3 linked regions of the Pelodiscus sinensis genome follow. The protein of the gene in region 1 interacts with the protein of each later gene in a pairwise test. Links are inferred from orthologs where the notes say so. Each region holds a gene or a part of one and is shown in the gene's direction. Other genes may lie near its edges.

The links.
Region 2: the proteins of PLEKHF2 (region 1) and ACY3 interact in binary tests that used the Homo sapiens proteins (3 or more experiments, as listed by UniProt). The two-hybrid records come from large-scale screens. The link is inferred for Pelodiscus sinensis from reciprocal best matches to the Homo sapiens genes PLEKHF2 and ACY3.
Region 3: the proteins of PLEKHF2 (region 1) and SETBP1 interact in binary tests that used the Homo sapiens proteins (3 or more experiments, as listed by UniProt). The two-hybrid records come from large-scale screens. The link is inferred for Pelodiscus sinensis from reciprocal best matches to the Homo sapiens genes PLEKHF2 and SETBP1.

The regions. Positions count from the first base shown.
Region 1 is NC_134712.1:39,749,239-39,757,013, reverse strand, and holds the start of PLEKHF2 (pleckstrin homology domain-containing family F member 2), read left to right. Parts: upstream 1-4,742; 5' UTR 4,743-4,889; intron 4,890-7,775. UniProt on the Homo sapiens protein: May play a role in early endosome fusion upstream of RAB5, hence regulating receptor trafficking and fluid-phase transport. Enhances cellular sensitivity to TNF-induced apoptosis.
Region 2 is NC_134714.1:126,721,201-126,728,712, forward strand, and holds the start of ACY3 (N-acyl-aromatic-L-amino acid amidohydrolase (carboxylate-forming)), read left to right. Parts: upstream 1-4,424; 5' UTR 4,425-4,439; coding exon 4,440-4,621; intron 4,622-7,512. UniProt on the Homo sapiens protein: Plays an important role in deacetylating mercapturic acids in kidney proximal tubules. Also acts on N-acetyl-aromatic amino acids.
Region 3 is NC_134716.1:119,857,871-119,865,600, reverse strand, and holds the start of SETBP1 (SET-binding protein), read left to right. Parts: upstream 1-4,642; 5' UTR 4,643-5,680; exon of another isoform or gene 5,681-5,708; intron 5,709-6,573; exon of another isoform or gene 6,574-6,600; intron 6,601-7,730.

The DNA.
Region 1 (7,775 bases):
TGGGTTAGGCTAAAAGGGATTAAAAACAAGGCAGATGTCATGCTAGGCTAAGTCTACTACAGGCCACCTACCCAGGTGGAAGAAGTGGATGAGGCTTTTTTTAAACAACTAACAATATCATCCAAAGCCCAAGATTTGGTGGTGATGGGGGACTTCAACTATCCAGATATAAGTTGGGAAAATAACACAGCGGGGCACAGACTATCCAATAAGTTCTTGGACTGCATTGGAGACAACTTTTTATTTCAGAAGGGGGGAAGCTGTTCTAGATTTGATCCTAACAAATAGGGAGGAACTGGTTGAGAATTTGAAAGTGGAAGGCAGCTTGGGTGAAAGTGATTATGAAATCATAGAGTTCACAATTCTAAGGAAGGGTAGAAGGGAGAACAGCAAAGTAGAGACAATGGATTTCAGGAAGGCGGATTTTGGTAAGCTCAGAAAGCTGATAGGTAAGGTCCCATGGTAATCGAGACTGAGGGGGAAAACAACTGAGGAGAGTTGGCAGTTTTTCAAACGGACATTATTAAGGGCCCAAATGGAAGCTATTCCACTGTGTTGGAAAGATAGAAAATATGGCAAAAGACTGCCTTGGCTTAACCACGAGATCTTGCATGATCTAAAAATAAAAAAGGAGTCATATAAAAATGGAAAGTAGGACAAATTACAAAGGATGAATATAGGCAAACAACACAGGAATGCAGGGGCAAGATTAGAAAGGCAAAGGCACAAAATTAGCTCAAACTAGCTACGGCAATAAAGGGAAACAAGAAGACCTTTTATAAATATATTAGAAGCAAGAAGAAGACCAATGACAGGGTAGGCCCACTGGTCAGTGAGGAGAGAAAAACAGAAACAGGAAACTTGGAAATGACAGAGATGCATAATGAGTTTTTTCTTTCGGTCTTCACTGAGAAGTCTGAAGGAATGCCTAATATAGTGAATGCTAGTGGGAAGGGGGTAGGTTTAGAAGATAAAATTAAAAAAAAAAGTTAAAAATCACCTAGAAAAGTTAGATGTCTGCAAGTCACCGGGGCCTGATGAAATGCATCCTAGAATACTCAAGGAGCTGATAGAGGAGGTATCTGAGCCTCTAGCTATCATCTTTGGAAAATCATAGGAGACAGGAGAGATTCCAGAAGACTGGAAAAGGGCAAATATAGTGCCCATTTATAAAAAGGGAAATAAGAACAACCCAGGAAACTACAGACCAGTTAGTGTAACTTCTGTGCCAGGGAAGATAATGGAGCAAGTAATTAAGGAAATCATCTGTAAACACTTGGAAGGTGACAAGATGATAGGGACTAGCCAGCATGGATTTGTAAAGAACAAATCATGTCAAACCAATTGGATAGCTTTCTTTGATAGGATAACGAGTCCTGTGTGGATAAGGGAGAGGAGGTGGGTGTGGTATACCTAGGCTTTGATACAGACTTTGTAAGGCATTTGATACAGTCTCACATGGTATTCTTATCAATAAACTAGGCAAATACAACTTAGATGGGGCTACGGTGGGTGCATAATTGTCTGGATAACCGTACTCAGATAGTAGTTATTAATGGTTCACAATCCTGCTGGAAAGGTATAACAAGTGGGTTTCCGCAGGGGTCTGTTTTGGGACCGGCTCTGTTCAATATCTTCATCAACAATTTAGATATTGGCATAGAAAGTACGCTTATTAAGTTTGCAGATGATACCAAGCTGGGAGGGGTTGTGACTAATCTAGAGGATAGGGTCATAATTCAAAATGATCTGGACAAATAGGAGAAATGGTCTGAGGTAAACAGGATGAAGTTTAATAAGGACAAATGCAAAGTGCTCCACTTAGGAAGGAACAATCAGTTTCACACATAGGCTATGTCTACACTGGCGTGATCTTGTGCCAGATATATGCAAATGAGGCTAAGCGTGGAATATCGCCGAGCCTCATTTGCATATCTAATGAGCTGCCATTTTTGCAGAAGAGGCTCTTGCACAAGAAGGAGCGTCTACACTTCCCCTTCTTGCGCAAGAAAAACCCTCTTGCGCAATGCCGTTATGCTGATTATTTTCAAAAAAGCAAACATGATTCTCGGATGCATTAACAGGTGTGTTGTGAGCAAGACATGAAAAGTCATTCTTCCATTCTACTCTGCGCTAGTTAGGCCTCAGTTGGAGTATTGCATCTAGTTCTGGGCACCGCATTTCAAGAAAGATATGGAAAAATTGGAGAGGGTCCAGAGAAGAGCAACAAGAATGATTAAAGGTATAAAGAACATGACCTATGAAGGAAGGCTGAAAAAACTGTGTTTGTTTAGTTTAGAAAAGAGAAGATTGAGGGGGGACATGATAGCAGTTTTCAGGTATCTAAAAGGGTGTCATATGGAGGAGGGAAAAAACGTGTTCATCTTGGCATCTGAGGATAGAACAAGAAGCAATGGGCTTAAACTGCAGCACAGGAGGTTTAGGTTGGACATTAGGAAAAAGTTCCTAACTGTCAGGGTAGTCAAACACTGGAATAAATTGCCCAGGGAGGTTGTGAAATCTCCATTTCTGGAGATATTTAAGAGTAGGTTAGATAAATGTCTATCAGGGATGGTCTAGACAGTATTTGGTCCTGCCATGAGGGCAGGGGACTGGACTCAATGACCTCTCGAGGTCCCTTCCAGTCCTATTATCCTCTGATTCTATGATAAAGTCCATAACTGGTAGAGGTTGAATAAGCTCAAGACTTATATAATACTCAGGAGTAAACAGACATAAGGATGCTTCTGAATGCATGCTGTATGTGCCTTATGGCTTTTGATTATCTTGGTGTCAAAGAAACTATAGTAATTAAGTCACCTGATAGAGTTGTTTCATCCTTTCTGTTCACTACTTTCCAGAAATGGAATACAGAAATAACATGTGCATCACAGGCATTAGCAGTCCCCCCCCTCCCCTCCTCCCGGCCTTGCTGCCCTTAACAGAAGCAGCAAGGCAGGGGAGGGAGCTGGAGCTGATACATCATCTCTGCAGAGGGCAGGGGAGGCAGATGGATAGTGGGGAACGGGCTTGGCCTATACCACACAATGATTTTCAAGACTAGTGTATCACTATCTTGCATATACTTTATGTGTCATCTTTTAGATAGAGATTATGACAACGAGTTGGAGTACATTGTATATGTCAGGCTTGATAAGAGTTGTTGACACACAATTGTAAACCACTAATAAACCATGTGAGGACAGTTTTGAACATCCTATCAAAAGAGCATCTTAGCAAAAAAAAAAAAAGGAAATCTTCACATACTTTTCAGAGTAGAATTATAGCCCAAGTAACAGGAGTGCTATGGTTTAAAAAAATATGGCCAAATTAGAGACAAGTCAGACAGGAACACTAAAAATAACAATAATGGAAAAATAATGCCCATATTTTACAGGAAGTTAAAAAATACACTAAATATAATTGGGAGAAATGAAAATGGAATAGCAATTAATTATATAACTTGTGACAAGGTCAGGCCAGAGGGCTTGATTCAAAGGAGAGAGAGGCAGCTTTAAAAGGCAGAAATGGTCCTGGAATTATCATGGGTGGAATGGGAGCAGCTGAGATGAGGCTACTATAAACCAATTAGGGCCAGCTGCTCTGACTTCAGGCTGCAACAGGGTCTTTTTAAAAGCTTCCCCTCCTCTCTACTCCCAGGAAAAGTGAGAGAAATGATAGCAGATAAGGAGAGACTTGGAGATGCTAATAAAGAGAAGTCAGTGTTGCTGGAGATAGCAAGGAAGGTCAGGAGCTCTGACGGGAACTGTTTGGGCTCCCTTCCCCAAGTAGCTTGAGCATTTCAGCCAATGGCTGGGGAGGTCTGCTTACCCAGCCTAGGGAGATCAAGGGGCACCTGCCCCAAAGCCCTTCTAGCTGAGGGACAGAAATCTAAACCCCAGCAAGGGCAAGAGTGGCCTGTGCCACAGTACCTAAATAATTGGTGAGACTGAGTTGAACAGGGGCCCAGGAATGGGACTGACCTTTTCACAAACTTATAAAGAGAATACTATCAGTATTCTCTTGTCACAACAAGGACAATATCACGGAACAAAGGTCTGAAAATGCAGTAGGAAAAATGGTTAAATAAGTGGGAAAACATAGCTATAAAGTAACTGAACTTCTAAAGGAGAAAATTTTCCATTAGTGGACCTATTTAATACTATTAGCAGTGGGTTAAGAATACAAAAGCAATCCTGTCATGATCTAGACAGGTGGAGAAACATCCTTTTGAATAAAAAAAATTCTATGACTCTTTTTTCCTCTTACAAAAGCAGGTGTCAGCAAGGAATGAAGTGCATTTTCTTTTAAACTCTGCATGTTGCTTGGCAATCTTCACCAAACTCACCTGGTAGCACCTGGATTAGGTGGCTGGGCAAGATGTTGAGTAGGAATGTGAATGGTTAACTGGTAAGCATCACCCAGCAAGGCTTGCCAGTTGCAATTAACTGATGGGGCCTGGAACAGCTCCCCACCTGCTACAGGCAGGGAGCTGCTCTATCCCAGCAAGGTCCAATGTGGGAAGGGGGTGCTCTAGCCCAGGTAGAGCAGCCCCTGTATATAGCAAGCCTGGGCTGGTGCTCCTCACACAGGGGGGCTCCATCCTGGCTGGAATAGCCCCCACCTGCAGCAGGGAAGGAAGGTGCTCCAGCCTACCCTCTGCCCCACCCCCTTCATGTGGTTTCCCAGTTAAATGATTAAATGGGATTTTACATCCCTACAGCTGGGTAGGTTTGAGATGATGGACAGAAAGAATCCTGTGTCTCCAGAGCACTTGCAAAAACACTTGGCAGAGAAAGCTTAAATCTATTAACTGCAACAGCAAGTTGTGGCACTTGTACATCCTGACCATCGGACAAAGGACCACTGTGTGCACAGCTGTGCAAGAGGTAAGCTAAGATTTTGTTATTATTATTTTTAGTAAAAGTCACAGGCAGGTCATGGGCAACAACTAAAAATTCACATAAGTCCCTGACTTTTAATAAAAATAACTGACAAAATGGGAAAGGAGGAGGGTCTAGAACACACAGGTTGTAGGTGAACCCTGGTCTCAGGATGGTTAGCCCTTGGCCTGTCACTTCTGCCTGAGGCATTTTTCCTTCCACTGAAGTCCAGACACCTCACTCCTATGTGGAACCCTTCTTTCTCCCCCCACAGCACTCTTGAGTATGCAATATGACTTTCCTCCAGCAGTCCCAGAGTGCCTGGCATGTGGGTAGTGTGGCCCACAGATGAAGGATGTTAAAGACTAGTTGACTATCCAATAAGAATTTGCTTATCAGATAGTAATGTCAACTAGACAATTCCCCCCTTGCCGCCTATATGAAATAGAGGCAGCACTGGGTGGGGGGAAAAGGGGTACTTTAAAGTGGCACTGCTGCTCTGAAACCTGAAGGTGGCAGCTGCACAGCTGATCCTGGGATCACCTGTGTGGCAGGCTGCCCCTTTTAAAACACCACCTCTGCGGGGAATCAAAGGGGCAGCCCTGGAGTCCGGGGTCAGCTGGGGATTCCCAGCTGATCCTGGGATCCCTGTGGCATTTCCCCAGAACCTGGGATCAGCTGGAGAGTCCCCAGTTGACTGTGGGTTCCATGTGACACTTCCCTGGACTCCCCAGCTGATCCTGAGTCCTGGGGAAATGCCACAGGGAGCCTGGGGTCATCTGGGGAGTTCCCAGCTGACCCTGGGCTTCCCTCCTGCCCCTTTGAATCATGCAGAGGCAGTGTTTTAAAGAGCCAACAGGCCGCATAGCTGATCCCAAGATCAGCTGTGCAGCGGGCTGGCCCTTTAAAATACTGCCTCCGCACGATTCAAAGGGGCAGCTGCCATTGATCCCGGGGTCAGCTGGGACCTCCCCAGCTGACCCTGGGCTCCCTATGGCATTTCCCCAGGACCTGGGATCAGCTGGGGAGTCCAGGGAAGTGCCACATGGAACCCAGAGTCAACTGACTAGTCAATTAATCGCATTTTAGCATCCTTACCAGAGACCTTCTTCCCTCAACCCTGGAGTGCAAAGTGGTTATCACCCTCCCAGCACATATGGGTGGTGTGCCCTCCCAGCCCTTGAGTATTATGTGAGTGTTGCATAGCCCCCCAGCACCAGGCAGCCCTCATTAACCTCAGCCCTATCCTGGTACCTCCCCCACACAGCACAGTTCTGGGAAGCAGGAAGGGACCTGGGGGCAGAGCATGAGAGGGGCCAAAGGCCATACAAGGCTTTTTGGTGTAGCTCAGCCTTCTGCTGCCTTCAATAACTGCTACCTATGCCAATATCTGTGGTTGCTGGGGCTCCACGATTCCCTCCCATGGTGACTGCAAGTGTGGGGTCCTCTGGCAGCTGGCAACAGCTTAGAGATGTGGGGTACCCCACATATGGAAGAGGCTTGGAGCTGTAAGGGTCCTTCCACTACTCCTGATGGTGGCTTTCAGTTGTGGGGCATCCTGGATAGGGACCACAGCAGGTCCCCCCCTACCTGTCATCTTGGCTGGATTTTTAAAGGGAGCCCCTGCAACCTGTTGTGGCTAGGAGTTGCAGCGGACTTCACTGGCTGTCAGGTCCTGCCTTGGGGCTGAAGTAAAAATGTCCCAAAGATCTCTGGAAGTAATGGAAATACCAAACTTGAATTCAAATGGAATTCAGAATCTTTACTGGGATCTTCCTTCCCCTTGGATACTTTATCAGTTAATCTAATAATTCTGATTTTTCATAGATTAATGTTTTGGGTAGAGATGTTAGATATTGGGTAATACAATAGTTGACTAACTGCACGAATTCTTAGTGGTTAGTTGACTATTCTATGGTCCAATGTATCAGAGGCAGCAGTACATAGTGCTAGGTGGGAAATGGTCCACGAGGGGAGACAGTTAAAAACCAGCTCCCCTTGTAGACCAGCTGCTTGCTGCCCTGTGCTGCTGCCTCTGATATAGAGGCAGCAGCATGGGGTGATAGCAGCCCCTGTCCGTGATGGGTCCGAGCTCTGCACGGACAGAGGCTACTCCAGCCTCTGTCTTTAGGGAGATCAGACCTCTGTGAACTGGGGCTACTGCCAGGGACCAGCCTCTGTTGATGGCAGGCCCGAGCTCACCATGCATAGGAGCTGCTGCAGTGAAGCAGCATCCCACAGAACAGGCTTCCCATGGACAGACGTTGCTCTGCATCCCGTGAAGCAGTCACGGCCTGCCATGGTGAGTCAGGGCCTGCCAAGGGCACAGGCTGCTCTGCAGCAGCCTCCCCTGGTGCCCCCCCAAACACTCTAGCCTCTGTCCACAGGGAGCTCTGACCCCCTGTGGACAGGAGCTGTTGCCCCGAAACAGCATCTCGCAGAGCAGGCTTACTACAGAGGTTGCTTTGCATCCTACAGAACAGCCTCTGGCAGCAGCGAGCCAGAGTCCGCCATGGGCAGAGACTGCTTTGTGGCAGCCTCCTCTCTCCCCCATGTTGCTGCCTCTATGAGAGGCAGCAGCATGGTGGTGCGGGGGAGGGGGGCAGGCGGCACTGCAGACTTGCTACTGGGGGGCACCAGCTCCCTGCTTCTCCCCCCCTTGCTGTCTCTTATACCGAGGCAATGGGGGGGGGGGGGAATGCAAGTAGTAGACTAGATTAACTGATAATCCCTAGTTTTGGGGCCACTTCTTTTGTGCCAAAAAGCAAATACTTTCACAGTCCTACAATTAGGTGAATATGAAATCTGGGGAACCCAAACACTAGGGTCTTCATATGAGTGAAACCTTAATTAATCAAAAATGTTGTTGCTGTTTTTCTGAGTTTCTCTCAC
Region 2 (7,512 bases), on another chromosome or scaffold:
TGCTCTTCTTGCTGATCTCCTTCTTGGACCCCAGTTTATATAGTGACGCCTGAGTCCTGCTTAGCTACACCTTAACCCAGTGTTTCCCAAATGGTCTTCTGCAGAACCCCGGGGTTCCATGAAGCGAAAATAAGGGTTCCGCGAGAAAATTCCTTTACAATAACATTTTATGATTTAAAAATAATTCATATTTAAGCATTTATGAATTTTATTGAAAACAATTTTCATTTGTGTTTGCCACGATAAGTGCCCCTGTGTAATGCCAGCTTAGCCAGAGAGTGGGGACGATGATGTCACTACTCAGCGTTGTTGTCCATATATTAGATTGTTATTGGGAGTTCCGCAAAATTCTTTCAAGTTTAAAAGGGTTCCGTGGCCAAATAGAATTGGGAAACACTGCCTTCACCAATGATTTTTGTGTGATTATAACATACTGTAACAGAATTACCTAACCAATCATACCCCACCATCTTGGTTGATTTACACCTAGCAAAATTAATTATACAGCAGACAGAAATGGTTACAAACCGGACAGAGATCACACAGACAAACAATAGGAAAATGTGAGGCCAATAATCAAAGAATGAGGATTCCACAACCACAACTATTGATAAGCAGTTTCTTGCCAGACGAAATGCTGTTAATTAAGTTTTCTTTGCCCATCTTGAGATCTGTTTTCTTTATCTGGTGACAATGGGGGCCATTAGGACAAGGTCGCCTTTTCACAGCCTAGTGTGACACTATTTTAATGCAATTTAGATGGAATGTGAGGTTATGACTCCAGGCTTTCCAGCTAATGGCTGCTGCTCTCCACTCTGGCTGTAGAAGAAGGCTTTAGTTCATGCCTACCAATATGGCTACAGGCCTTCCAACATGGTTACAGAAAAACGATATTGCTACACCACTCTGCTTAGAAACCATATTGCTTATGGAACCTGTGCACTGTGTGTGAAGTGTGAATGAGAAATACCCAACCAAAAAGGCAGTTGAGGATCCATGATCTTTTCAGGCAGACAAAGACCCTGCGAGCAGATACATTAATGGACACGCAGCCAGAAAATCTCTCCCTCGCTCTTGGCCAAAATGTAACATCACAGCAGAAACCTGGGACATGGCCGAGTCTCCAGGAAGCGGTCACCTGTCCAGCACTCCAGCCACCAGCGAAATCTGAAGTAATCTACACGGCACTTGGCAGCCTGTCTCCAGACTGCCAGCATGACTGTGATATGTGTGAGTGTGGGTATGTCTACACTAGAAAGTTAGTTCGAACTAACGGACGTTAGTTCGAACTAACTTTCCTATGCGCTACACTAGCGCTTCGCTAGTTCGAATTTGAATCGAACTAGCGGAGCGCTTAGTTCGAACTAGGTAAACCTCATTTTACGAGGACTAACGCCTAGTTCGAACTAGCTAGTTCGAACTAAGGGCTGTGTAGCCCTTTAGTTCGAACTAGTGGGAGGCTAGCCCTCCCCAGGTTTCCCTGGTGGCCACTCTGGCCAACACCAGGGAAACTCTATGCCCCCCTCCCGGCCCCGGACCCCTTAAAGGGGCACGGGCTGGCTACGGTGCCCGTGCCAGGTGCAAGCCTGCCAGCACCCAGCTAGCAGACCCTGCACCTGGCACGGCACAGAGCCACCCACCCGATGCCCCCCAGCCCACCCCCTCTTGCCGGGACCAGGCTGGCGGCTCCCGGGAGCTTGCCCTGGACCGCAAGAGGCGGGCACCTTCCTGGGCTAGTGCGGACATCGTGGACCTCGTCCACGATCTCCGCACTAGGCACAGGAAAGTGGCCGGCTAGGGCAGGAGAGCTGCCAGCCTGGCCACCCAGGACCAGGTGTGCATGAAAATCAAGGGGGTCCACTGAGACCCCCGACCCTGAGCCCTGAGCTTACAATGGCCGTCCTGGGTCAGACCAAAGGTCCATCTAGCCCAGTAGCCTGTCTGCCAACAGCGGCCAACCCTAGGGACCCTGGAGGGGATGGACCGAAGACAATGACCAAGCCATTTGTCTCGTGCCATCCCTCTCCAGCCTTCCACAAACTTTGGGCAGGGACACCACTCCTACCCTCTGGCTAATAGGACTCCATGGACCCAACCTCCATCACTTGATCTCACTTCCCTTTCAACTCTGTTCTAGTTCTAGCCTTCACAGCCTCCTGCAGCAAGGAGTTCCACAGGTTAACTATTTGCTTTGTGAAGAACAACAACTTTCTCTTACTAGTTTCAAGCCTGCTACCCAGTCCTTTCCTTTGGTGTCCTCTAGTCCTTCTTTATGGGAACTCATGAAGAACTTTTCTGAATGCACCCTCTCCACCCAACCCCTGCTTTTAGAGACCTCTATCCTGTCCCCGCTCCATCTCCTCTTTTCTAAGCTGAACAGTCCCAGTCTCTGTAGCCTCTCTTCATCTGGGACCTGTTCCCAACCCCTGATCATGTTAGTTGCCCTCCCCTCTCCCAGCCTTTCTCTTCCCCTCTCCCACCTCCTTTTCCCAGTCTCCCCCAGTTTTTTTCAATAAAGACAGAGTCAATGTTGGAAGAAACGTTATCTTTATTTTGTACATCAATAAGAAGGGGGGCTAGGGAAGGGCAAGTGGAAGGAGGTGAGGGAGGAATGGGGTACGAGCCCCCGATGGGGAGGACTGGGCTGGCTCTGCGGGCTTCTGGGGGTGGAAGCTCTCCTGCAGCCCCCCAATTACTCCCTCTCCCCAGATGGCAGCCTGCGGCAAGTGCAGCCGGGCTGATGGCCGAGTGGTGTGATGTGCCCAGTGTGGGCACTCAGGGCACTCCAAGCCAGAACTTCTTTGCAAGCGGGGCACCCCTTAGAACTGTGTGTCCGGGGTGGGGGTCGGGACCCTTTAAGCGCAGCCCTCGGCTAGCCTGAGACAGTATCTCCATGCTCTAAGTCCTCCTTTTATGCCCTGCCGGCACTGCTTCCGGCCATCCTTAAGCCCTGTTCAGAGTCCACTCAATGTGGACTTACTAGTTCGAACTAGCAAAACGCTAGTTCGAACTAGTTTTTAGTTCTAGATGCGTTAGTTCGAACTAGCTTAGTTCGAATTAACTAATTCGAACTAAGTTAGTTCGAACTAGCGCTGTAGTGTAGACGTACCCTGTGTGAGTATCACTTGACTCTTAAGAATCTGTGCCAATAAACAGCCCCAGAAGCCATACTGCTCCAGGCCCACCCCTCCTTGTCTGGGTTTGTTCCTCAGAAGCTCTGAGGAAGTGTAACACAAAGGGATTTGGGGCTAGGAAAGTGAGGGGGGAGCTGGGCAGGAGTCAGGAGGAGCCACAGAGCTGGGAGGGGGCAGGGCTGTGAGAGCAGGGGGGAGGGTGAGCTAGGGGGGGTCAGGAGGGAAGGGCTTCAGCAGAGGGGGGGAGCTTGGAGCTGGAGTTGCAGGGCGGCTGTGAATCAGGATGGAGGGGCATTGGCACAGCTGCAGGGGGGCGGGGCGGCGCTTGGATGGCAGTGGCGCAGCTGAGCTGCATTAGAAGAGCTGGGTGTGGTGGGGGAGACAAGAGTGGAGCAGCAAAGGGGCCTGTAGGCAGCAGCTGGGCTGGGCAGGAACAGCAGGGGCTGGAATCTAGCTTGCAGGGACTTCCTCTCTCTTCCACCAGCTCCTGCCGATCCCCTTATCTCCCTGTGAGGCCGGGGGGCACAGGAGGGAAGCTGAGAGATGTGGGCAGGCTTCTAATAAGCATGTGGGGCCTGGACCTCAAGAGATATAAATGGCGTGATACCCATGTGCACCCACTGGGGAGCTGTCCCTTGCATGCTAGGCTATGGTGGAGCCAGAGAAACCCAGTCACTGCCCCCCAAGCTTCCCAAGCGTTGGGCTTCATTTCCTAGGGACTGTACATCCAGCACCTGCCCTCCCCAAAACGCCTGTGATCTGGGGAAGGGTTGCCCCCCACCAGCACTATGGGTGCAGCAGGTCTTTGGGCAGAGGTCACTGCCTGCCAAGGGAAATAATTCACCCAACTCCTGACTGTGGGAGGTAAATATTAAACAAGGGCTCCGTGGCTTGGACCCAGAGCAGCTTCTCGCACCTGGGTGCCCCAAGAGAGAGGGTTATTGGGGGCCTTGACTGGCAGTGGACAGGATCAGCGCGGGGGTCTTTATCAACAACCTGAGAGGTGAGTGGTCAGCAGTCTCGGGCTCTGCCTTTGGCGGGAACATTTCTCTATTTCGCTCAGTGTCCCCTCCCCAGCACCTGGCAAAAAGAAGGGGGCGCTCGGTGGAATGGAGCCAGGCTGATCAAAGCAAGGATTTGTGTACACCGCCAGGCATGTCAAACTGGCATCTGGAGGGCCGCATGTGGCCCCATTGAAGTTTTTTGGGGCCCGCCAGTGCATTTTCAGACAGACGGAAGTGCGGCCCGCTGGCCGCGTGGAGCACGTGACTGAGTGCAGGTGACGCCGGCTGGGCAGCTCTGCGCATGGCCCCCAGCACGTGGTCACAGCCAACCAGCCACTGTGCGCAGGGCCCGCAGCATGTGATCACAGCCAGCTGGCTGCTTACTCTCACTACCCCAGCGCCTAAGGAAGCGTGGCAGTGGCAGCAACAGCAATGTGACGACGGTGGTTCCAGAATCCAGGCATTAAGTTGTGGGGGGCTGAGGTATGCCTGTCTCTGGGGGAGGTGGGATGCATTAGGTTGGGAGGTGTCTGCCTCTAGGAAGGGAGGAGGCATTAGATTAGGAGGAGCTGGAAATCCTTGGCTCTGGGGGAGGAGGGAAGCATTAGGTTGGGGGCGGGGGGCCTGGAAGTTCCTGCCTCTGGGGAAAGGGGTAGGCATTAGGTTAGGAGGGGGCTGGAAGTCCTTGGCTCTGGGGAAGAGGCGGCACTGGACCACAGCTCTTCTACTCTTCCCCTTGTACAAGCATACAATTAAGTGTTATTTGCATGATGTCATGTACTGTTTCTCAGATAATATGACAGCATACAGGTTTTTTCCCTCGAATGGAATAGAATCAAGAGGACTATAATATATACACCCACAAGGGACTGATTTGTGGTTCTCAGTTTAATTTTCATCTTCCCTGAGTGTTAAGAACCTAACTGTACTACTGTGTTAATATTTGTCATATGATTTCCTTGGAATGTAGGCATTGCCAAATCAGCCAATGGGATCCTCTTGTCTAGTCCAGTACTCTAGGTACAAAAGTGGCCAATACAAGATGTCACAGGATGGGGTATGAGTGTGCTCGCACATGTCCACAAGAAACTATAGTCGACAGTTATCCCCGGATAGGGAATGTTGTTTCTTTACTCCCATCATTTTGAAACATGACCTGAAACATGGGTTTTAATCTGTTGTTTATCCTACCTATGGTATTTTAGATGTTCTCATTATCAATAAGCCTTTATCCTTTAAAAAAAATCTTACAAACTTTTGACCTTGCGGCTATTTAATGGCAGTGAGTTCCACAGATGAATTGGGTAAAAAGTTTCCTTCCATCAATATTAAATGTGTTGTCATTTAAGTAAATGTAAAAAGAGATTCAACGAAGCCAGGTGAGGGTGACTCATTAATCTTTTTAATGGCATTACAATACTTTCAGTGTTATTTCCGTTCCTTAAGGATTTCACTCTCCCTCTTCTCTTTTTAATGTGTCTATTACACATTAAGCAAATGTTCTCTTTTTTGTGTGAAACTGGTCAAAAGGAAAGGAAAATTGGATCTGTCTTCCATTGCAGCAGCAATGCTAATGACTCCCTTTTCACATTTTTCAAAGTGTTAATTATTCTGCTTTTTTAAAATATGGTTTCAACCATTGGTCCTGGTATTCAAGACCATACTCTTTTTTTTTAAATTCCAGGATACATTCCTAGTGCTTTTAAGATAGAAACAATATTCGCCACTCCCCAGTCCTCTGGGAAAGAACTTATTTTGATGAGATTGCTTAACTTCATGAGTAGCTCACCTAGTTCATTCGGAAATTTCTTCCAAACCCATGAGTCATTTCATCTGCACCTGTTGCTCTTAGATTTATCACTTTGTTCTAGCTGTCTCATCTTAAATACATCCACAGAAGTTGAGGAACAGTTTCTGCAGGAAGGAAATAACTTAGCTTCTTTGCAATGTCTTTATTTTCCTTTAATTTTCTGTTTACTCACTGCTAGTCTAGCAGACTCAACAATGTCTCTCAGGGTACGTCTACACTACAACGTTAATTCGAACTAAGCTAATTCGAACTAACGGATCCAGACTAAAAAACTAGTTTGAATTAACGTTTTGCTAATTCGAACTAGCATGTCCACACAGAGTGGACCCTGAACCATGCTTAAGGATGGCCGGAAGCAGTGCCGGCAGGGCATCAGAGGAGGACTTAGAGTGTGGAGATGCTGTCTCAGGCTAGCAGAGGGCTGTGCTTAAAGGGTCCCGACCCCCACCCCGGACAGACAGTTCTCAGGGGTTTCCCGCTTGCAAAGCAGTCCTGGCTTGGAGTGCCCGGACTACCCACACTGGGCACATCACAGCACTCGGCCATCAGCCCGGCTGCACTTGCCGCAGGCTGCCATCTGAGAGTGGGGGAAATTGGGGGGTTGCAGGAGAGCTTCCACCCCCAGAAGCCCGCAGAGCCAGCCCAGTCCTCCCCATTGGGGGCTCGTGCCCCATTCCTCCCTCACCTCCTTCCACTTACCCTTCCCTAGCCCCTCTTCTTGATGTACAAAATAAAGGACAATTGTGTTAAAAATGGAATCTGTCTTTATTGAACAAAACTGGGGGAAACTGGGAAAAGGAGGTGGGAGAGGGGAAGAGAGAGGGTGGGAGAGGGGAGGGCAACTAAAATGATCAGGGGTTGGGAACAGATCCCATATGAAGAGAGGCTAAAGAGACTGGGACTTTTCAGCTTAGAAAAGAGAAGACGGAGGGGGAACAGGATAGAGGTCTCTAAAAGCAGGAGTTGGGTGGAGAGGGTGCATACAGAAAAGTTCTTCATTAGTTCCCATAAAGAAGGACTAGAGGACACCAAAGGAAAGGAATGGGTAGCAGGCTTCAAACTAGTAACAGAAAGTTGTTCTTCACAAAGCAAAGAGTCAACCTGTGGAACTCCTTGCTGCAGGAGGCTGTGAAGGCTACAACGAGAACAGAGTTTAAAGGGAAGTGAGATCAGGTCATGGAGGTTGGGTCCATGGAGTGCTATTAGCCAGGGGGTAGGAGTGGTGTCCCTGCCCAAGGTTTGTGGAAGGCTGGAGAGGGATGGCACGAGACAAATGGCTTGGTCACTGTCTTCGGTCCATCCCCTCCAGGGTCCCTAGGGTCGGCCGCTGTTGGCAGACAGGCTACTGGGCTAGATGGACCTTTGGTCTGACCCAGGATGGCCATTGTAAGCTCAGGGCTCAGGGTCGGGGGTTTCAGTGGACCATCTTGATTTTCATGCACACCTGCTCCTGGGTGGCCAGGCTGACAGCTCTCCTGCCCTAGACGGCCACTTTCCTGTGCCTAGTGCGGAGGTCGTGGACGAGGTCCACGATGTCCGCACTAGCCCAGGCGTGTGCCCGCCT
Region 3 (7,730 bases), on another chromosome or scaffold:
GTCTGGCTGCCCTTCTGTGACTATGGAGGGGCTCTGGTTCACATTTCATAGCATGGTGACTCTGCAGTGGGAATGGAATTCCAGACTACTCCAGCAGCAACTGTATTGACTTAGAGGACCACTGGTTAAAACTGATCGTTCCTTTTCCCCTTCTCCATCTGTACTAGTGCAAAAAAACTTGGGGGAGGGGCATGTTCACCCCACCGTTCCCCCTCACTGGTGCCACTGTTTTTAAATCATAGCTTCCTGTACATTCTAGGAGCAGGCTGCAAACAATGTTCCCTCTCATTTTTCCATCCATATGCAGAATAAATTTTGTTATGTGCCCTGAGACATATGTGGATGTGCACCACCAGTAGAAACACATGCTGCTGACTATGGGCATCCCACTAACCAGCTGGGCAGCACCTGAATCTCTCCTGAATGGCCTCCCAGCTGATCAGCAGAGTGCCCACAGCTGCAAATAATTTTAATTGACACATTTGTGATGTTCCATGTTAAGTTTTTGTACTATTGCATATCAGTGTCATATATGAGCACCATATCTTCCTTCTGCAAATCATTACAGGGAACACTGGTTGCAAAGGAGGCTACAAATATCATTAATGCCAGTCAACATGGTTTCATGGAAAATAGGTCTTGTCAAACAAACCTGTTATTTTTATCTTTTGTTTTGTTTTCTTGGACAAGATTACAGGCTTGGTTGATGAAAGCAAGCGTGTGGATACAGTATATATGATTTCTCCAAGGGCTTTGACTTGGTACCATGTGACACCATGACTAAGAAACCTGCATTATAAATTAACAGAGCACCCATATATCTCAAAACAGAGTTTTTAACTGGGAGACCTCAATGAGAAAAGCCATTAATAAAGAGAAGTGCAAAGTACTTCACTTAGGAAGGAATAATCAAATGCACAGTTACAAAATGGGGAATAATTGTCTGGTGGCGGTACTACTGAAAAAGGATTTTGGGGTTATAGCGAATCAGAAAGTGAAAATGAGAGGCAGTTGCAAAAGAGGCTAATATCAGTCTGGGGTGTATTAACTAGAGTGTTATATGTAAGATGCAGGAGGCAATTGTTATACTCTATTGGGCAATGGTGAAGTTTCAGCAGGATCTGGGTACCACAACGGAGGAAGGATGTGGACAAATTGGAGAGAAGTCAGAAGCAAGAAACAAAATGATAAAAGCTTTAGAAAAGTTGACCTCTGAGGAAAAGTGTGTGTGTGTGTGTGTGTGTGTGTGTGTGTGTGTGTGTGTGTGTGTGTTTTATAGGGCATGTTTATGTAACCCACACACCTTCTGGGTGTGGTATATTGTCCCATGTAGTGGCACTTAGACCACTTAGAGAAAGAAATGAAATGAGGAAATGAGTTTTCTCTCCAGCCATATCTGAGCGTGAGAGGGCTTTATAGCTCAAGCACTATGATCCAGAGTTCCTAGGTTCAGTTCCATTTGTTGGTGTTACACTGAGCCTTGAAAAAGAGGACTGGATGGAGGGGTCCCTACACAGCAAAGCTATTCTGGAATAATGGCTGTTGTTTGGAAATAACTATGCAAGCGTCTACAAAGCAATTCCATTATTTCACAATAACGGGCAACTTATTCCAAAATCTGTAAATCTCATTCCATGAGGAATAATGCCTATTCCAAAATAGCTACTTCAGAATAAGGCATTTATAGATGCTCCACTTCTGCTATTTTGAAATAGCACCTCACCAGGGCCATTCTAAGTTATTCCTCTCCAGTGCCTCTTGAGGTTCGAAACTGAAGTAGCACGTCTACATTAGGGGAAGCCTGCCTCAGATTAATTTTGAGGCTTCCCTGCAGTGTAGACATAAGCTATTTCAGAATAAGCTATTTCGGAATAACTATTCTGGAATAGCTTATTCCGAAATAACTGTGCAGTGTAGACGTACCCAGGGAGCGGGGAATGTGATAGCAGTATTCAAATATGTTAAGGATTATTGTAAAGAGGACTGTGATCAATTGCTCTCTATGTTTACTGAAGTAAGTCAAGAGGAAATGGGCTTAGTCTTCAGCAAACAAGATTAGGGGGCTGGAGCACATGACCTATGAGGAGAGATGGAGGGATTTGGGCTTATTTAGTCTGCAGAAGAGAAGAGTAAGGAGGGATTTGATAGCAGCCTTCAACTTCCTGAAGAGAGGTTCCAAAGAGGATGTAGAGAGGCTGTTCACAGTAGTGACAGATGGCAGAACAAGGAGCAATAGACTCAAGTTACAATGGGAGAAATCTAGGTTGTATATTAGGAAAAAACTATTTCACTGGGAGGGTGGAGAAGCACTGGAATGTGTTACCGAGGGAGGTGTTGGAATCTCCATCCCTAGAGGTTTTTAAGTCTTGGCTTGACAAAGCCCTGGCTGGGTTAATTTAGTTGAGATTGCTCCTGCCTTGGCCTCCTGAGGTCTCCTCTAGCTCTATGATTCTAGGGATTTCAGAGGGAAAGAACAGAAGAGCAAACCACCCAGTATCCATCCCCTGCCACCTACTCCTAGCTTCCAGCAATCCAAGGCTATGGCCACTTGGAGTTGCATCCCTGATCATCTTGGCTAATAGTCCTTGCTGATCTGATCTTATCTATTTCTTTTTTGTAACCCCGTTATCGTTTTGGTCTGTACAACATCCCCCAGGAACAAGTTATAGAGGCATAGACATGGCTAGTTTATGCCCCTTTGTTCTTGTGCCATCATTGTTATTTAGCTTAAATAGCTCTTCTCCTTCTCTGCGCCCCCTCCCCCATATATTTATAGAGAGAAATCTGATCCTTTCTCAGCTCTCATTTTTGTAGGCAAAACAAGCCACACTCTTTTCTTTTCCTCTGTAAGACAGGAAATCCCTGGATCTTCTTAGTAGCCCTTGTCTGGACCTCTTCTAGTCTGAATTAATCTTTCTTGAAGATGGGTGATGTGATGGGGCGTCTACCCCACTCTGGCCCTTTAAGGGTAAAACCCAGCCCTGGGGGAAGGCTGAGAGCCTGGAGCCAGCAGCTGAGGCAAATACAGCCAATTAGGGCCCTGCTGGGGCTGTATAAATAAGGGCTCCTGGAGGCAGGAGAACAGATACTCTTTCTGGGGAGCAGGAGGTACTTAGCTGCCAGGGAATCTAGTAGCTGCCCCAGACGGAGTGGTGCTGGGGAGTTCTGGCCTAACCTTGCTCCCAGACTGCAAGGCCAGAGTGTACTAGGGCTGCAAGGGCACAGCCAAGATAGGAAAAGGCAGCAGGTCCACACCCCTTGCCAATGAGGAGTGGCCATTTCAGACTGCAGTTTGCCCTTCAGGTAAGGAGCTAGATGATGGCTGGCAGTGGGTCACTGAGGCAAGGTGGGCAGAGGGGAATTGGGGGTTCCCTGGGAGGGGAGGACCCCAGAGTGCAGGGGCACTGACATAGGACAGTCTGGGCATAGGCCTGTCTGAGGAGGAAAGGCATCATGGCCAGGAAGGGACACAGAGCGGAACCAGTAGAAAACCTACCCCACAGGCTGGGCCACCAACCAGCAGAGGGCACTCTGAGGCAGGAGTGCTGATTCCCTGGGTGCCCACCCTGTGACAGGTGACTAGTGTTGAAGGGAATAAAGAGAGGGAAAGTTTGTCCCCTGCTTAGCTGTGGTCAGCTGTGGGGGGAGGGGGGTTGTAGACACCCTGGCAGGAAGGCTGTGAAGGCACATCAGGTGATAGCTGGGAGTCTTTCCTCATGCATGAAAGAGCAGAGAGGTGTGAACTGGTCTAATGTTCTCTGCATTACCATAGCTCCCAGGGCCCTACTGTGACACCAGGTTTCCGTTGTTGTAGGGTCAACAAAAAAGACAAATCTCTGCCCTGATCCTCTTACAATCCAACCTGTGGATCACAAACCATGTGTAGGCAGGGCTGAAAACCATTATAGGCTCTATTGCTCTATTCCCTCCTAGGGAAGGACTGTTTCACCTTCGAGGGAGATGTAGAGCCTGCACACACCCTCATGCCCCAGAGGGGTGGATTGCCCCATTTCAGGTGGATTGCCTCAGAGCCTAGCCAGAGGGGCTGGTGTCTGTCAGTTCAAAAGGGAGAAGCTCCTTGTATCACTGATACACCCTGATCCTTTGCATGTGTGCTACAGGCCGGCTCTTAATCCAAAGTGGTGCCATCTAAACAGGATGGGGTATCCCAAGCAAGTCCATAAAATGAGGCACACAGGATATGTTTAGGCTAACACTTGCCTGCATGTGGAAGCCGAGGGGTATGCTTATTGCTGTGAAAAGTCTCCACTCTGCAAACCTTTACTCACCTCTTTAGCCCTGACTCCCCCTTACTGTTTTCAACAGAATGACTCCTGCCAGGAGTGATTGACGGGGGTGTCTAAGGCCTGGGTTCTCCAGCCTGCAACAGTCCCCTCCCCACTAGAAAGAAGTGTATAAACCATCATAGAGCACCCATGGATGCTCTGCTTTCTAGTACATCTCTGGGGCCCGCCTGTGGCAGGTCTCTGGGGCTGGCCAGTGGGGTAAATGTCACTAATCCGGATCTCTTCCCCCTCTCTGTTTCTTTTCTCCGTTCTCCCCTGCCCCCAACACTGCTGCTCTTGTGTCAGGCAGTGGCAGTGTTGAGTTCATTAGCGGAGCGCTGAGCCTTCCAGCCCGGCTGTGTGTGTGTGTGTTTGATCCTTCCTTTCAAAAACAAAACCTACTACTGCCGCCGCAAGTCTCCGGGAGCGAGAAAAACACACAGGGCACGGCGGGAGGAAGCCAGGGGCGCGGTGGATCGGTTTGAACAACTCCGCGCCGGCCCTGCCTCCTGGAAAGCCACAACAAATCACCCCAGGCAGCCGCCGGGAGAGCAAAGCGCAGCCCCCGGGCGTAGACCCCAGCTCTCCTGGAGCGGCCGGGCCGGGCAGCAAGAGCGCGGATCCTTCCTCCCCCCGCGCCTATTAACCCGCTCCTCCTCCTGCCTTCCCCTGCTCCGGGACTCGCGCCGCCGAAGGACTCCGAGGCGCGTAGGGGGAGCCATGGAGCTACCAGCCATCCCAGAGCAGCGCTTCAGCCCCGATTAAACTGCCGCGATCAGCAACCCCCCCAGCTCCGCCACCGTCCCCCTCTGCGCGCCGGGGGGGGGGGGGGGGGGAAAGGGGGAACCGCGTAAAAAAAGGAGCCGCTGCGTCTATCCACGGAGCCGCTCCATCCCTCCCAGAGCCAGGCTCTGACCCGGTGCCTGGGTCCCCCCCCCCTCTCCTTTTCCTCCTCCCCCTCCTCTTTGCCTTCTCCCCCCCTTCCCCTCCCCCTTTGCTCCTGTCCCAGTTTATGTCGGAGCCTGCTAAAATTAGCCGGGACTGTGAATTGGATTGACTCCGGCTCGCGAGACGCCATTTTCCCCCCTGCTCGAGCGATCCCTCTCTCTTTATCTCCCTCGCCTCTATCTCTCTATCTCCGTGCGATCCCCTCCTCTCTCCCCCCCTCCCCGCCTGCCTCCCCCCCCCCCCCCAGCGGCCCCGCTCGCTCCCTCCCTCCCTCTCCTGCGCTGCGCGTGTTGCACGCCCGTGTGCGCCCCTGCTCTGACAGATGAGCACCGCCATGGCTTTGCCGCAGCACCAGCAGGACCGCCGTGGGGGGCTCCGGCGAGGGATTGGAACCGGGATCTAAACGGGAAGAGGCGAGAGGCGGCTGAGGAAGCCGAGAGGCGAAGGCAAGACGCTCCAGTCTGGGGGCTATGGGTTAGTAAACACCGGCCGCGATGGGTGGAAATCTCGCGCTTGCTGATCTGGATTGCACTGGCGTAGTGTGTGCGCGCGCGCTGATCTGGATTGCACTGGGGTGTGTGTGTTGCACTGGTTTGTGTGTGTGTGTGTGTGTGCTGATCTTGATTGCACTGCTCTGTGTGTGTGTGTGTGTGTTGCACTGGTTTGTGTGTGTGTGTGCTGATCTGATTGCACTGCTCTGTGTGTGTGTGTGTGTGTTGCACTGGTTTGTGTGTGTGTGTGTGCTGATCTTGATTGCACTGCTCTGTGTGTGTGTGTGTGTTGCACTGGTTTGTGTGTGTGTGTGTGTGTGCTGATCTTGATTGCACTGCTCTGTGTGTGTGTGTGTGTTGCACTGGTTTGTGTGTGTGTGTGTGTGTGCTGATCTTGATTGCACTGCTCTGTGTGTGTGTGTGTGTTGCACTGGTTTGTGTGTGTGTGTGTGTGTGTGCTGATCTGATTGCACTGCTCTGTGTGTGTGTGGATTGCACTGGTTTGTGTGTATGTGCTGATCTTGATGCGCTGGTGTGTATGTGTGTGTCTGACTGTGGGATCTTGATTGCACTGTGTATGTGTGTTTTCTTTTGGCTGCATGCAAAAGTTAATGTATCCTGCCTTCCCACCCCATCCTTTGGTGACTTTGCAATGGCGCGGGAAGGTCTTTATTTTTGTCGTTTCTATTCCGCGTGTCTGTGATTTCCTCCTAATCCGGACTCCCCCCCCCCCCCCCAGTAGATTGGGTTTCAGTCTTGTGCTCCTGGAGTGGGTAGATTTTGTAGGAGTTTGCATGGGTGTCTTTCATCCCCCCTCCCCTGCACACACCTCTCCCTCCCTTAGTCTGGCTGAGCCCCTCTGATGGTGGTGTGGGGTAGGTGGCAGAAGTGTGTGTGTGTGTGTGTGTGCGGGAGGGTTGGCAGATTCTTCCCTCCCCTTTGTAAATTGCAGGTTAAGTGGAGCTAGAGAGCAACATTGTAACCTTGCTTGGCATTTTTTCTTTCCTTAAGATAGCCGAATTTTGTAATTGCCATAGAGGAGATGGGGGGGGGGGGGCTGTTGTGGAAGGGGGGGAGCAATCGTAAAGATTTCAAGTAGGGAATGAAAGCCCTTGTGTGTTGGTGTCCCCTTCCTTTACCTATCACACCAGCCCATTGAACAGTCCTGGCTTTATTTTGACATTGAAAAGGACACGCACTCCATAAAAGCAGCATTTCCCAGTAACACACAAGTGCGTGTGTGCAGAAAGCCAGGGGAGTGGGTAATTAACAACGCGGGATCCCCCTTCGTCCTCCCCACCCCTCCCTGTTTGTTTCAGAAGTAAACCGGGTTGTTAATAATACCCCCCGAGGTCACCTCCCTGCAATGAACCCGGGGCAGGACTGGAGTTTGAGGCAGTGTAAAAAGCCAGAGGCAGTTGGAGGGGAGGGGAGGAGGGAAAGGACGATGGTTTGTAAGATCAGTCTGCAGGTTAGGGGAGCTATTGTCAAATCCCAAGTAAAATCTCTCCCTCCCTTCCCTGCCTCCCTGGGAGAGCTGGGGCAAGTTTGGTTCGCCTGGCCGGGCGAGGGAAGACTTATCGCGCTGCGCTGCAAGCTCTGGGCTGATGTCCCCTCGTGTTGTGATGACCGCGCGGGAGAGTGTGTGGGTGTGTGTGTGTGTGTTGTACGTGGACTTGTGTGCACGCAGCATGGGGCGCCCGGCGTAGACAGGCCCCGGCGGGACAAGCGTGTTGTGTCGCGCGCGCGCCTGTGTATTTATGTCTCCAAAGGCAGTTGAGAGAAGGATTTCCGATTCGTTTCCGCTTCCAATACACCGCGCTGATAATCTCAGGGCGGGCGTCGGACGCGAACAGGGCACGCTGCTGCCAGGGACGCTGCTCCGGGGGCGTCGCGTCGGGGGGCGAGCCTTGCCCCCCCCCTATAGCCTGCCCCCCCCTCCCCAGCTAAAGTTCTGCAGGGTCCCGTGGGCGGGCATCGAATGTCAAACCGGATTAGAGGGGGT